Linked DNA regions of Cricetulus griseus. The protein of the gene in region 1 purifies or fractionates together with the protein of each later gene. This does not show direct contact. Links are inferred from orthologs where the notes say so. Each region holds a gene or a part of one and is shown on either strand. Other genes may lie near its edges.

What was found.
Region 2: the proteins of Gsk3a (region 1) and Nbr1 purify together in Homo sapiens (affinity purification with western blotting; 3 studies listed by BioGRID and IntAct, with this or other methods). This does not show direct contact. The link is inferred for Cricetulus griseus from reciprocal best matches to the Homo sapiens genes GSK3A and NBR1.

What each region holds. Positions count from the first base shown.
Region 1 is NC_048602.1:9,984,701-9,992,134, forward strand, and holds the start of Gsk3a (glycogen synthase kinase-3 alpha), read right to left. Parts: upstream 4,837-7,434; 5' UTR 4,727-4,836; coding exon 4,444-4,726; intron 4,273-4,443; coding exon 4,093-4,272; intron 2,828-4,092; coding exon 2,640-2,827; intron 882-2,639; coding exon 798-881; intron 644-797; coding exon 533-643; intron 1-532. UniProt on the Homo sapiens protein: Constitutively active protein kinase that acts as a negative regulator in the hormonal control of glucose homeostasis, Wnt signaling and regulation of transcription factors and microtubules, by phosphorylating and inactivating glycogen synthase (GYS1 or GYS2), CTNNB1/beta-catenin, APC and AXIN1.
Region 2 is NC_048600.1:114,592,135-114,598,303, forward strand, and holds the start of Nbr1 (next to BRCA1 gene 1 protein), read left to right. Parts: upstream 1-1,613; 5' UTR 1,614-2,017; intron 2,018-2,219; exon of another isoform or gene 2,220-2,371; intron 2,372-5,804; 5' UTR 5,805-5,870; intron 5,871-6,169. UniProt on the Homo sapiens protein: Ubiquitin-binding autophagy adapter that participates in different processes including host defense or intracellular homeostasis.

The DNA.
Region 1 (7,434 bases):
GAGTGCTGGGACACAAGGTGTGTACCACCATGCCCAGCTCTCCATGGGCAAGGCCTGGCCTTCAGTCAGCTGTGCCTCTGGAACTGCTCAGCACTGGCTGAGCATAGAAGCAGCCATAGTACAGCTCGCAACTGCCGAACTGTCCTCCCAGTGTGGATGGCCCAGCAGCAGCAGCAGGCAGCCACAGGCACAGCCCACATTAGCAACAGCTTATCAGGGCACAAGGTGCTGAAGCCACCAACAGACCCACAGGCGATCTGGGGAGAGCCTGCCTGGCTCTTCTGTGTGGGCACACCTTCCTGCCACTCTAGCTTTCCCACCTAACCCCAACCCCTTTGCCACCTCCTTGGCAAGCCCTTGCCTTGGCCCTCCCTGGACTTAGCCAAACCCATCTGCAAGCTACAAGGCTGAAGACAGGGAACATAGGCCTCCAGAGACCAACCTAAATTCAAAGATGAAGGAAACCTTAGACACAGGTAGCCCCAGGGCCCCTGCTTTTGTGGGCCTGTGCTCCAGCAGCCTGCCTACATACCTTGACATAGATGATAGGGATAATCAGCTTGGCCTTGGTAAAGTGCCGGGCCACCCGGTACACCGTCTCGGGCACATACTCCAGCACCAGGTTTAAATACAGCTCATCTTTCTGGAGGGCAAAGGGGAGAAGAGACCTTGTAAGCTAAGAGGGAAGGTGTGCAGAGACCAGTGAGGAGCAGAAGGACCTCGTGGGAAAGAGGGCGGGAAGATGGATAGCATCCGAGTGTGGCTACACCCCTACCCCTCAGATTCCAGCATCTCACCTTCTCGCCACTGGAGTAGAAAAAGTACCGCAGCCTCACGATATTGCAGTGGTCCAGCTTACGCATAATCTGCAGCTCTCGGTTCTGCAGGGCAAAAGGAGTCTCAATACACACAATCCCGCCTCCCCCGCCCAGCACCGTCACCTCACCCTCCATCTATCTCTGCTAAGAAAGCAGGCAGCTGTCCCTTGTGCCCCAAACTCAAGGCTGCAAGGCCTGGGGCAGGGAGAAGAAAATTAGTTCTTCACTTCAACCTCTGGCCCCTTCCCCTCACACACAAGCTACAGCCTATGGGCCAGTTAGTCCTGGGCCACCAGTGTGTTTACTTCAAGCTGCTTTTTAGAAGTTCTCTAACTACTGCTGACATGTAAAGGTCAGTTAGTTTCTTCATAAAGCCCACCCTCCGCATCTCTTGAAGAATTTACTGAAGCTAGGCCTGGTGCTGGTCTAAGATCTCAGCAATTTGGAAGGCTAAGGCAGGAGGACCTCAAATTCAAGGACAGTCAGAGCACCATGGGGCAGCTCTGTGTCAAAATACAAAGAAGGATGCTAGGGATCTAGCTAGCTCAGTGGTAGAGCGCTCGCACAGCACACACAACTTCTGGGTTCCATCCCACATACTACAAAACTAAAGAAATCAGACCACGGAAACGTCACACCAGACACAGGCAAAAGCAGCAGCAGCAGAGAGCAGTGGCTGTCTGCTTCTCCCTGACCCCCGTCCCCCTCCACCACCTTCCCTGGACGTGCTGGGGACTCACAACTCAACACGCCACCTTCCCTGGAAGTGCTGGGGACTCACAACTCAACACGCCACCTTCCCTGGAAGTGCTGGGGACTCACAACTCAGCACCTTCCAACCTCACCTTCCCCTCCGTGCCTGGGCCTCTTCCCACTGTCTGGTCCCACCCAGGGCATCAGAACCCTTCTCAGATCCGCCCCAGCTCTGCAGTTCAGCTCCACCAAGGTCTGACTGACACCCCAGAGCTGCTCCTGTCCAAGAGCCCTCACTGCCCAGCCCCGCTTACCCGTCGGGTCTGGTACAGTCCTCCGTGCACCCCCCTCCTCTCTCCTGCTACTTAGTTCCCCAGGCCTCTGCAGCTCACAGAGCACCCTATCCTCTGGAGGCAGCCCTGCCCTGCACAAGGCAAGGGGCTCAAATGAGCACCGTCAGGGCTCGATTACATTGAGCACTGGCTGACGCCTGGGGAAGAGCACGTCCTTCAGAGCCACCATCATCATCAGCCTTATCTGACCTTTTCTTCTGGAAGAGATGTGACCAAGTGGTTGAGGAGAGGGACTTCCGAGTCTACAGGCCAGAGCCTTCCCCCGAAGGGGCCCTTACCATGCAGCCTCATTTCTGCTGACATAGAGCAGGAATAGCAGCAGGTCCTGCCCTCAGAGATGCTTCAGGTCAATTAAATTAGAACTTGCCTGTCAAGCACTTAACACCAAGGAAATGCCCAGTAAACATTAGCTCTCAGCTCTTCTGAAATTTACATTTCCCCCAGTTCACTTCACCGGAATTCCCTCTCTCCTGAGGCCCATGCTCAGGTCCCGCTGAAATCCTGGGCTCAGGCTGGTGAGACACATCAGTCCATAGAAGTGCTTGCCATGCAAGACCGATGACCTGGGTTCAATCCCCAGATTCCAGGGTGGTAGGAGAACCAACTCCCAACAGTTGCCTGGCCTCCGTATATGCATCATGGCACACACATACATCATACACATGCACACATTAATAAATAATAGTAAGAACATTAAATTCCAGATACTAGTCCTATTGCTGGACACAAACAGCAGTCACTCCCAGTCCCCAAACCGCCAGTCCACTCAAGGTACCTTGAACCTTTTGTCCTGAAGAACCTTCTTGATGGCCACTAGTTCCCTTGTCTCTGCCAGCCGTGCCTGGTACACGACTCCAAATGAGCCATTGCCAATCACTTTGATGTCAGTGTAAGCCACCTCTTGGGAACGCTCTGGGCCTTGGCCTAGAGTGGCTACCACTGTGGTCACCTTCCCGCTGTCACCTAAGGAACAAAGGGAATACAATCTACTGACCTTTCCCAGGGAGGGAAAGCTGTTCAAAAAACTCACTGTGGGTGAAGGGACAGTGATTACTTGGTGACAGAGTACTGTCTGGCACACACCTTGAGTTCAATACCTGAGGACAGGGAGGGGAGCTTAGCTACTCCAGTAACCCGGAGCCTCCCTCCAAGGAACCCTACATTCTGCTTCCCATATTGGAGGGCACGGACATGCAAACTTATTTCCATTAATGTGTAAGTACCCACTTTCTCCTTTTAGCAAACAACAGCAAGTCACTTGGTGGTGGGGGACCATCAACACCCTCGGTGCATAACCCAGCCGCACCGGGCTCCCCGGCCTTTGGCCCCTTCTGCAGGGCCACCACAAGGTACCATCTTCCACTCAAAGGAGCAGAAACTATGAGGTGTTCGTTCTTCCAGAAAACTCTGGCCATTCTCACAGTCTGAGGGCACTAACTTCTAAATCCTCCCTGGCAGATCAAGGACCATTGCCACTGCTCCTGAGTGACGGAAATGAACGGGGCTAACTGACAGTGCCCTGACCCTCACTTGTTGCTAGGGGTGGGGGTTGCTGTTGCTCTTACCTAACACTGCACTGATTGGGATGTGTGGGATATTCTTAGTGCCATTCCCAGTCACCTTCCGAAAACTTATCAACAAATTCCAGTTGGGAGGGGGCAGTGTATGACATTTTGAAAAATAATCCTACATTGCTTTTTTTTTTTTTTTTTTTTTCCCCAGAGCCAAAGACGGCCACTTCAAACCCGTATTTTATAGTAGGTGTGACCCAGGCCACCCCATTCTATTTTTTGGCTAACCAGCCCCGCCCCCCCCCCCATTTTTTTCTTTTTAAAAAGAACACTGTTTGATTTGAAGCTCATTGCTATTCCCAATCTGCTGTCATTTACAAACAGCAATGATAACTCGCTGTCAGCATTGGGGACACAAGTCTACACATTTTCGATGGGTAAGGTGGTCATGTCAGGCCTTATATTTCAAGCCTGGCCCTGCTCTGTGGGAACATCAGTAATCCTAAGTCTGCACTTCTAAAAGAGACATTCCATCCAAATCCCCATTTCTGATGGAAAGGAAACCAGTGCCCCCCCCCCGCCCCCTTTTCCGTATAGGACGGTGGCAGTGATCTTTTTTATTCTTGTCTCTTAGGGGACAATGATCCTAGATCACCACTGGCAAGTAACTATGACCTCTGATCCTGTTCCCTAGTGCATGGCAGCGTCGTCAAGTACCCGGGACCTTGATACTGGATACTGGAAGAATGGGGCCTGTGACCTCTGCTTCTCGGATGCTGGTAATTCTGATTCTAAACTCCAAGGGATGGGAGCCCCCCAACTCCTTTATCCGGGAGCCCCGAGAGCCCAGATCCCGGTGTGAAACAGCACGGTGAACCTCAAGCTGCTTCTTTCTATCTGGGTCCCGGGGAAAAGAGAAAAAAAAAATAGAAAATAAAAATAAAAAATAATAATAAAAAAAAAATACCAAAGAAAGCCTGGCCGCCGCCGTTTGCCGGGCTTGGGGGACCCCGATCGCCGCCGCCACCGCCGCCACCACCACCCCACGGGGCGCCCCTAAGTACTCACGGCCCAGCTTCACTCCGGGCGGCGGGAAGCTAGTGCCCGCGCCGGCGCCAGCGCTGCCGCCTCCGCCGCTGCCGCTGGGGCCACCCCCGGAGCCCGAGGCGCCCACGCCCCCACCCATAGCCCCGACTGACGCCTTCCCGCCGCCACTGCCTCCCGGGCCGGAGGCCGAGCCCCCGGGGCCGCCTCCACCGCCTCCGCCTCCGCCGCCTGGCTCCGCGAACGAGCTGGTCCGCGCCCGGCCCGAGCTCCCAGGGCCGCCTCCCGAAGGCCCGCCGCCACTCATGGCGCCGAGCGCAGGCCCAGGGCCGCGGGCTCGGGCTGCCTGGGCTGCCCCTGCCGCCGCCGCCTCTGCCGCCGCCTCCCCTGGGCTCCGGCCTCTTCCAGGCCGCGCCGTTCGGGCTCCGGCTCCGGCCCAGCGCCCGCCGCGGGGCACGCCGGGAGATGAAGTCCCTCTGCCGTCGGCTTCGTTGTCGCCACCCTCGGACTCGCACAGCACGCCGGGAAATGGAGTTCTCAAGACCTCAGAGTAGCTGACGGGGGGGGAGGGGGGCGGGGAGGGGGGACAGAGGGAAAAGGGGTGGGGGGGAAATACGGTTCGCGCTGCACGTCGGGAAGTAGAGTCCTGGATAATGTCACCCGACCCTGACCAAAGGCAACTCTAAAATACTTCGGAAGCCACATTCAGGGCAAGACGCTCATTACACAGATGCAACAGCAAGCCCCAGAGGCTATCAGAAATGAAATCCTAGCCCCTCCATCCCGGAGCGGCCTCCAACCCTGAAGCATTCTGGGAAATGGAGTCCAGTCACCCATCCACTCCCATGGGCTGGTCGGTGACTTCCTGTGCCGGGTGCCTTCTGGGAGATTGAGTCCGCACTCGTGCACCCTCGGTTCTTGATCTGTGAAGCACACTGGGAAATGGAGTCGTCACCACGCCCTCACCGCATTGCAGGTGTAGAGCGTTTTGTAAAGCACGCTAGGAAAAGACTCAGGTGGTCCTCAAACCCCAAGTAGATACTGTAACTGGAAGAGGTAGGATAGGAAATGGAGCGGGCATCGCGCTCTCTCTGTCCAGTTAGCTGCGCCGCAGTTCCTTCCGGGAAATGTAGTCGACACCAAGAGTTAAGCGCGGTGCTTCAGCCAGCCTGGTGTCTTCTGGGAAATGAAGTTCAAGACAGCCTCATCTTTGAGGAAGGGGATGGGAGCGACCAGCAGCCAGAGGCATGCTGGGAAGAGTCCACAGTGGAATCTGACTCTTTGTGAAGCTAGGTGCAGGGCTTCTTGGGAAACGTAGTCCAAAGGGAGTGCTGTGGCTGGCAGTGGAGGTGAAAGGTTAAGGACGAGAGTTCCCGGGGGGAAACTATTAGGAGTTACAATGTCTCCTCCCTGGTCCTCAGCCCATCAGCCACTGCTGGGAAAAGGAGCCAGTCCCTCGAGGGCCACAGATTGGGAAGAGAAACACGTTTCCTCCCTGAATCCTCCAAGGGTTTCACGAACAGTCCCGGCCCGACCGACCGACCGACCGCGGGTCCCAACGCTTGTTTTCGGGGACTCTCTCTCTGTCTCCCTCTGTCTCTCTGTCTCTCTCCCTCTCTCTCCCTCTCCTCTCTCTCTCTGTCTCTCTCTCCCTCTCCTCTCTCTCTGTCTCTCCCCCTCTTCTTTCTCTGTCTCTCTCCCTCTCTCTGTCTCTCTCCCCCTCTCTCTCCCCCTCTCTCTCCCTCTCTCTCTCTCCGTCTCTTCCTCTCTCTGTCACTCCCTCTCTCTCTCCCTCCCTCTCCCTCCCCCTCTCTCTCTCTCCCTCTCTCTCCCTGTCTCTCTCTCTCTCCCTCTCTCTGACAACGTGGTTACAGCCAAGAGGACGAGCTGCACGACTAAAAAATAATAATAATAATAATAAATGAGACAACTTATGTCCTGAACTCGTATCCCAAACGATACTGGGAATCCCTCTCTCTCTCCTCCTCCCCCCTCTCTCTGTCTCCTCCTCCTCCCTCTCTCTGTCTCTCTCTCTTCTCTGTCTCTCTCCCTCTCCTCTCTCTCTCTCTGTCTCTGTCTCCGTCTCTCTCTCTCCTTCAGACTACGTTATCCAGAAGGCAAAGCGCAGGTCCTTCCGCCCACTTTGCAAAGCTTCACGCTCGCTCGCTCGACTGGAGAGGGCGGTTCCGGTGCAGCACAGCCAAACGGACGGCTGCCGCCCTCTGACGGCTGCTCGGAGTTGAAAAGTAAAATTTAAGTCAAGCCCCAAGGCATAGGAGGACCAAGAAGTCTCACGTGTGTCTGTGTGTGTCTGTCTGTGTGTGTGTTTGGTGTGTGTGTCTGTGTGTGTCTGTGTGTGTGTGTCTGTCTGTGTGTGTGTTTGGTGTGTGTGTCTGTGTGTGTGTGTGTGGTGTGAGTGGTGTGTGTGTTTGGTGTGTGTGTCTGTGTGTCTGTGTGTGTCTGTGTGTGTGTGTCTGTCTGTCTCTGTGTGTGTCTGTGTGTGTTGTCTGTGTGTCTGTGTTTGGTGTGTGAATGGTGTGGTGTGAGTGGTGTGTGGTGTGTGTGTGTGTGTGTGTGTGTGTGTGTGTGTGTGTGTGTGTGTGTGTGTGTGTGTGTGGTGTGTGTGTGTGTTGTGTGTGTGTGTGTGTGTGTGTGTGTGTGTGTCAGCACAGAACCCATTACTTAACCGCCGGAGCCGGTATGACCTGAGCAGACGGCCGGTCTTTGCATTAATCTCCGTGGGGCACTTGGAGGGCGAATGTCAGAGAAGAGCTGTAAAATGTCTCCAAGTGTCTAAGGGGGTCCTAGAGATGTCTGCATGAAAGAAGTCTTTGATAAGCCACAGGCATCGGAAAGCCATTGTTTGGGGCATGATGGAGAAAGCTCAAGAGATACCTGTGAGAGAATGAGACATTAAGACGGTTTCCAAGCAGCCTGACTAGGTGAAGCACGACACTGAAGAGACTTTGGAGGGGTTGTGTAGGGACTTGGGAGGAGGGCTGTCCTTACAAATGG
Region 2 (6,169 bases), on another chromosome or scaffold:
CCAGGGTCGTAAAGTGCCACCAGGTAACTTCTGATTGGCTCCTTGTCACAAGGCATCTGACCTTTTAGTGACTAAGGTTCCTTGTCACGAGACAGGCATCTGACCTCTAATTGACCAAGGCAGGTTTATGGCAAGCACGTGTTCGGCTGTTATGGCTGCCAAAAGGGAAGCCGGTTCCTTCAGCTGATGGAAGCAGAGACAGACATCCACAGATATACACTGAGCTGAAATCGGGAATTTAGTTGAAGAGAGGGAGGAATGAAGAAGGAAGGGGTCTGTACCAGGTTGGAGAAACCCACAGGAACAATTGGCCTGAACAAGGGAGAGCACATCGACCCCAGATGCTGTCGGGGAGGCCAGTACAAGACTGATCCAGACCCCTGAACATGGATGTCAATAAGGAGGCCTCTGCACTCCAGGGAGCCTCTGGTGGTGGATTAGTATTTTTCCCTGGTGCAAGAAGGGACTTTGAGAGCCCATCCCACGTGAAGGGTTACACTCTGGCCCTGGACACATGGGGAAGGGCCCAGGACCAGCACAGGAAGATTTGGTGGACTTTGCAGAGCCCCTGTTGAGGGCCCTACCCTGCCTGGGGAGTGGTGGGTGGATGGGGTGGGGGTAGGCTGGGGGTGGGGGAGGAGGGATGGGGTGAGGGGAGGGAGAGGGAGAAGGGACTTACATGTGAAACAAGCTTGTTCCCTAACTAGAACTAATAAATAAATAAATAAATTAAAAAAAAACAAAACTAAAACCAAAACAAACAAATGGAAAGAAACGCACTTTTTTTTTAAGTCACCAAATGCAAACACTAACACACTAACACTGCTGACGCTTCTCCACCCTCCCCCTTCTGGCACTTAGCCTCAAGGCAGTCTTTGAACAAGTACCCCTGCCGACAGCATTCATTACTACTATTGGCATTCCTTTGCGTGAAATATACATGGATTTCCCTGCCACACTTCCGCCCTCCTTTCCTCTCATCCTTCAGCCACCATGCTTACACTGCCTTCTCGGCACGACCACAGCCAGGACGCCCCTTCTTTCCTCCCTAGCCTTCTTCCGCACAGCTGCACCCCCCAGGAGTCCTTTCAGTTTGGTCCCGCCCCGGGCATTCTCCTACCTGGTAAACACCTGTCTCCGCCTGCAGTTTCCCGCCCTTCACTCGACTACCGCTAGGTTCCTCAGAGCTGTCTCACCTTCACCCCGAGCAAAACGTCCGTGCTCCCCAGCCCCTTGGCCCAAATCCCGGGAAAGCCGCTCGGAAAGCACTAGGTCCCGCCGCGGCACCGGCGCCCGCCGCGCAGCCGCAATGACAATTTATCTGTAATTCCCGCGCTCCCGGTCGCCTAGGAAACCGGCCGCTTGGCGGCTAGCGCCGGCCTCTAGGAACACAAGATCCAGACACGTCAGCGGAAGGGAGAGGAAAAAAAAGAGGTGGACACTCTTTCCGGGCTCAGGATTGGCCACCTGGTCTCTCCTTGTGTGTCGTAACTAGAAAGAGACGGAAGAGAAAGAATTTTGAGTTTCCTATTAGGCAGCCGCCCCCTCGCATCTACGCTTGCTTATTACGTCACAGTAATTGTGTACAAAGGGTCGGGATCGCTACCCAAGGCCGGAAGATGAGCGCAAGGTAGTGAACAAAGCAGTTGCAGAGTCCTCATCCCTCCCTTAGTCTTCCTGCCATGGAAGTCTCCAGTTTAGGTAAAGAAAGGATTATGTAAAAAGAACTACCAATTCCAGCATGCATTGCGGGACGAAAGGACTTCTCCACCGCGTCCCTTGGAAACTGTAGTCTTAAGGGAGAGGCGCTTCCAACACCGGAAGCTGGCGCGATTACCACAACAACCTAGTTAGTACGGCGGAAACCTCCTCGCGGTTATGCAGGTCAGCTGCAGTACATCGCAGCGTTCTGTTTTCATGTCTTGCTCACAGAGACTAGACTGAAAGAAGCTGCAAGTCCCAGGAATACTACAATTCCCATCCAGCCCCGCGATTCTCGGGTAACTAGTTCTCCAAGGTCAGTGACCTCAGGGAAAGCAGAGGGCGGCCAATGGGCTCGGGAACGGGAAATCCGCTCCGCTGACATCTACGCACTAGTTCCGCCCCTCGGCCTGGGTGTTTGTTATTGTTGTGCGGTTCAGACAGCTTCTGTCCCGCCCCTGCCGACGCAGCATTGGCCAATCGGTGCAGCGGTGGTTTTGAGGGACAAATAGTTAGAACCAATCGTTTTGTCGGAAACTCAGAGAAACATGGGACTGGGCCCGGTCTCTGTCCGCCATGTTAGATTCACCCCGCAGGGATAGCAGCCGAGCTGGCAGCGAACGGTCCTTGCACTGGCCACGGGCAAGCGCCCCCCGGGGGCGGAAAGCTGGTAAGGAGGCCGCCGCTGTTACCTACGAGTGGGGTCACGTCGTTCTTAGAGGTCTCGGGGAAGTTCAAGGAGAATCTTGAAAAGAGCAGTGACTTTTTTCCGTGTTCAGGGCAGCCAGTCCTTTCAGGGACCAGATGAGAGAGCCGCTTGGGTTGTCAGCGACAGTGGGGTGTGGATTCTGCTTGAGGGAGAGTCTTCATGGCTTAGAAAGGCCAGTTTCTGCTAAGAGAAAGTCGAAATCCCCCAGTACCAAAAGAGGGGCCTCCGGTGGTGGTGACACTCACTGTCCCGGGGACATGGAGTTCCAGGAAACGATTGCTGGAAGACTAGGACTAAGTGTGTGAGAAGAAGGGACACACATCTTCCTCATTCTGAGCTTTCCTCTTTTTGAGACTCTATTGAAGGTATCTTGATCTAGAACCTTCCGTGTTTAGAGAGGCATCGTTTTCCCTTTTTGTCAAGCACCCAGCTTTCAGATCACCCATTTTAAAGCTTAGGCGGCTTTAAACCTCTGGTAGACACAATAGAGTTCAGATTCCGAGATTCCCTATATTAATATTATTTGTCGACGTTGGAAAAACATCCTATGGGGAAAAGCTGACTTTGTCACATGAGTGTGAGTCAATGAGGCATGCGTTTACAGTGCCACTTAGGAAAGCTGCAGGCTTAGGCCCGGCCACCTGACCGCTGGCTGCAAAACAATAGGTAATATGTGGGGTTAACTGTACCTTTGATATTTTCACAAGTTCAACATTAATGTTCTGCCTGAAAGAATTTTCACACGTAAGTCACAGTGAGGTCCGGCCTTTATGAAGACCTGAATATTGGCTAGATAAACTAGACTCTCGCTTCCTGTTTTCTCACATTGACAGAGCAGCTGGATGAACTCCAAAGTATGGAAACTAATTCCCACTCCTGTCATTTGAGAACAGGGAAGATTAGTTTCCTTCCAGACAGAACTGTGTGGAAGTGTATTTCTTGAAGTTGGAAAGTGCGAGTGTATTTGGGAATTTTTTCTTTTTTAATTATCTTTATTTTGTGTGCATTGGTGTTTGGAACTGGAGTCACAGTTATGAGAAGCCATGTGGATGCTAGGAATTGAACCCGGGTCCTCTGGAAGAGCAGTCAGCGTTCTTAACCACTGAGTCATCTCTCCAGCCCAACCTCAGAATTTTTTCTTTTGGCAAACTCAGTCACTTCATTTTCCTTATTAAAAACAAACAAAAACAAACAAACAAACAAACAAACAAAAACCTAGGGTTGGTGGGATTCTGCCTAAATTTTAAAGATCCTAAGGAAGAATTGCATTTTGGGTAAATGTATGAATGCAGGATGTCCACAGGATTGATGCTAGAGACTATAGCTTTGACAGTGAACTTAACTCTAGATGAAGACAAGTCATGGAAAAAATTGGATAATTGAGTCTCTAAAATAATCTGTGATTAAGAATACTAGGTTCTTGGGTGGCAGTGACACATGCCTTTAATCCCAGCACTTGGGAGTCAGAGGCAGGCAGATCTGTGAGTTTGAGGCCAGCCTGGTGTACAAGAGCTAGTTCCAAGACAGTCTCCAAAGCCACAGAGAAACCCTGTCTTGAAAAACCAAAAAAAAAAAAAAAAAAAAAAGTACAAGGTTCTTAAAATGACAGTTGTACAGTTGTATCCACAGTGCTGAACTCTGGAGGCAGATGCGGACAATTCTCTGGTCTACATACATAGCAATCCCCAGGCCAGCATGGGCTACAGAGTGAAACCCTGTCTCTCTCCACCCAAAACAAAGTTATAATAGCAAGGTAGAAGCTATCTTAAGGACCTAAGGAATTGTTTCTTATGGTAATAATTTTCATATTTGAATACTATTTGAAAGAATCCTACATACTTTGTGGTACTGGAAATGGCCCCTTATCTTTGCACATATGTGGACTGGTTCCTTACTCCCTGTCCCTAGACCAAGGTTTTATTAGATCCCTTTGATAACATTGTTACTGTCAGCAGAATAGTCTTTGTTTTACATATTAAATGAGTGAAGCTCAAAGATAAACAGTCTTGCTCACAGTTGCACAGCCAATCTTGTGGTGGAGCTGTATCTGGGACCCAAGTGTTTGCACCCTATTGGCTCCCTTCTTTGACATTGGAAACATCTAGGACTCAAGTTCATTTCTTGTTTGTTGACCCGAATATGGCTCTTTCTACATGCAGATTGAAAATGAGATGAATATTTTAAGAGGTGACATTTTTTTGCCAGTGTCTATTGCTTGTAGCTTTAAACAACTTACACTATTTTTTTCCTAAAGTCACAGTTAACCAGTAAGCAAAGTCTTTCCTTAAATCAAATAGGTTGTTTTTTTTGGGGTGGGGGTGTTTCAAGACAGGGTTTCTCTGTGTAACAGCCTTGGCTGTCCTGGAACTGGCATTGTACACCAGGCTGGCTTCGAACTCACAGAGATCATGCCTGCCTCTGCCTCCCAAGCACTGGTATTACAGATGTGTGCCACCACTGCCCGGCTAAAATCAAATGGATTTTAACAATAGGCATTTGATTAAAAAATTGCCAGCATCTTAGGCATGATCATGATGGGTTTTTTCATTTTTCTCATTTTATAAGTATTTATGGAAGAAAGGGTGAATATTTTGTCAAGAGAGACATAGAGCAAGGTTGTTGCATGGTGGTAGAGTACCTTCCTAGCTTCCAAGCCCCTTTGTCATCTGCTCAACACACACACACACACACACACACACTCTCTCTCTCTCTCCCTCTCTCCCTCTCTCTCTTACACTAGAAAGGAAGGAATACTGACTAACAAAATTAGCTCCTAGTTGCTAATTGTGGAAGCTGATAGGTCCATGAGGACTCCTTGTGTTACATTCTTTAATTTTGTATAGCTTTTTCCACAAGTAATAGAAGTTTGTTGTTGTTGTTGTTTGGGGTTTGGGTTTTGGGGGGCATTGGTGTTTTTGTTTGTTTGCTTGCTTGTTTTCTGTAGACAAGTGCTCATTGTAGCCCAGACTGTTCTTGAACTGACTACCTAAAACTGCTTCTGTTGCTGCTCCCAGAGTGCAGACACCTTGTCTCTGTTCTCTATCTTGTTGGCTTGTGCTACAGATAACAACCAAACACTGGAAAATGCAGAGAAAACCTTATAGACTTAAGGTAGGGGAGTGTCTGTAGATATGTCCAAAATGTGGATTGTTTGTTTTCAAGACAGGGTTTCTCTGTGGCTTTAGAGTCTGTTCTGGAACTAGCTCTTGTAGACTAGGCTGGCCTTGAACTCACACAGATCTGCCTGCCTCTGCCTCCCGAGTGCTGAGATTAAAGGCATGCGCCATCAACACCCAGCACAAATGTGGATTTTTATTACATTTTTATCATGAGACTTTTATCTTCCCTCCCTGCTCTACACCTCTTTTAAAGACAGGGTTTCCTTGTTTTCTAGACTGGCCTAGACTCTTGGACTCCAACTACCATCCTGCTTCAACTTCTTGAGTAACTGAGACTACAGGTGTGTGACAATGTGCATTTTTTTTCTTTCTTTCTTTCCTTTTTTTTTTTTAATCTTATTTTATGTGCATTGGTGCTTTGCCATGAGTGTAGGGTCCCCTAGTAGAATTACAAACAGTTGTGAGCTGCCATGCGGGTGCTGGAAATTGAACCCAAGTCCTTTGGAAGAGCATTCTTAACCATTGAGCTCTTAACCACTGAGCCATCTCTCCAGCCCTTGACTTTTATTTCTAATGTGTAAGTTCTAAATAAGTTTAACTCTGTAGCATAAGCACACATCTTTATGGCATAGTGTCTTTA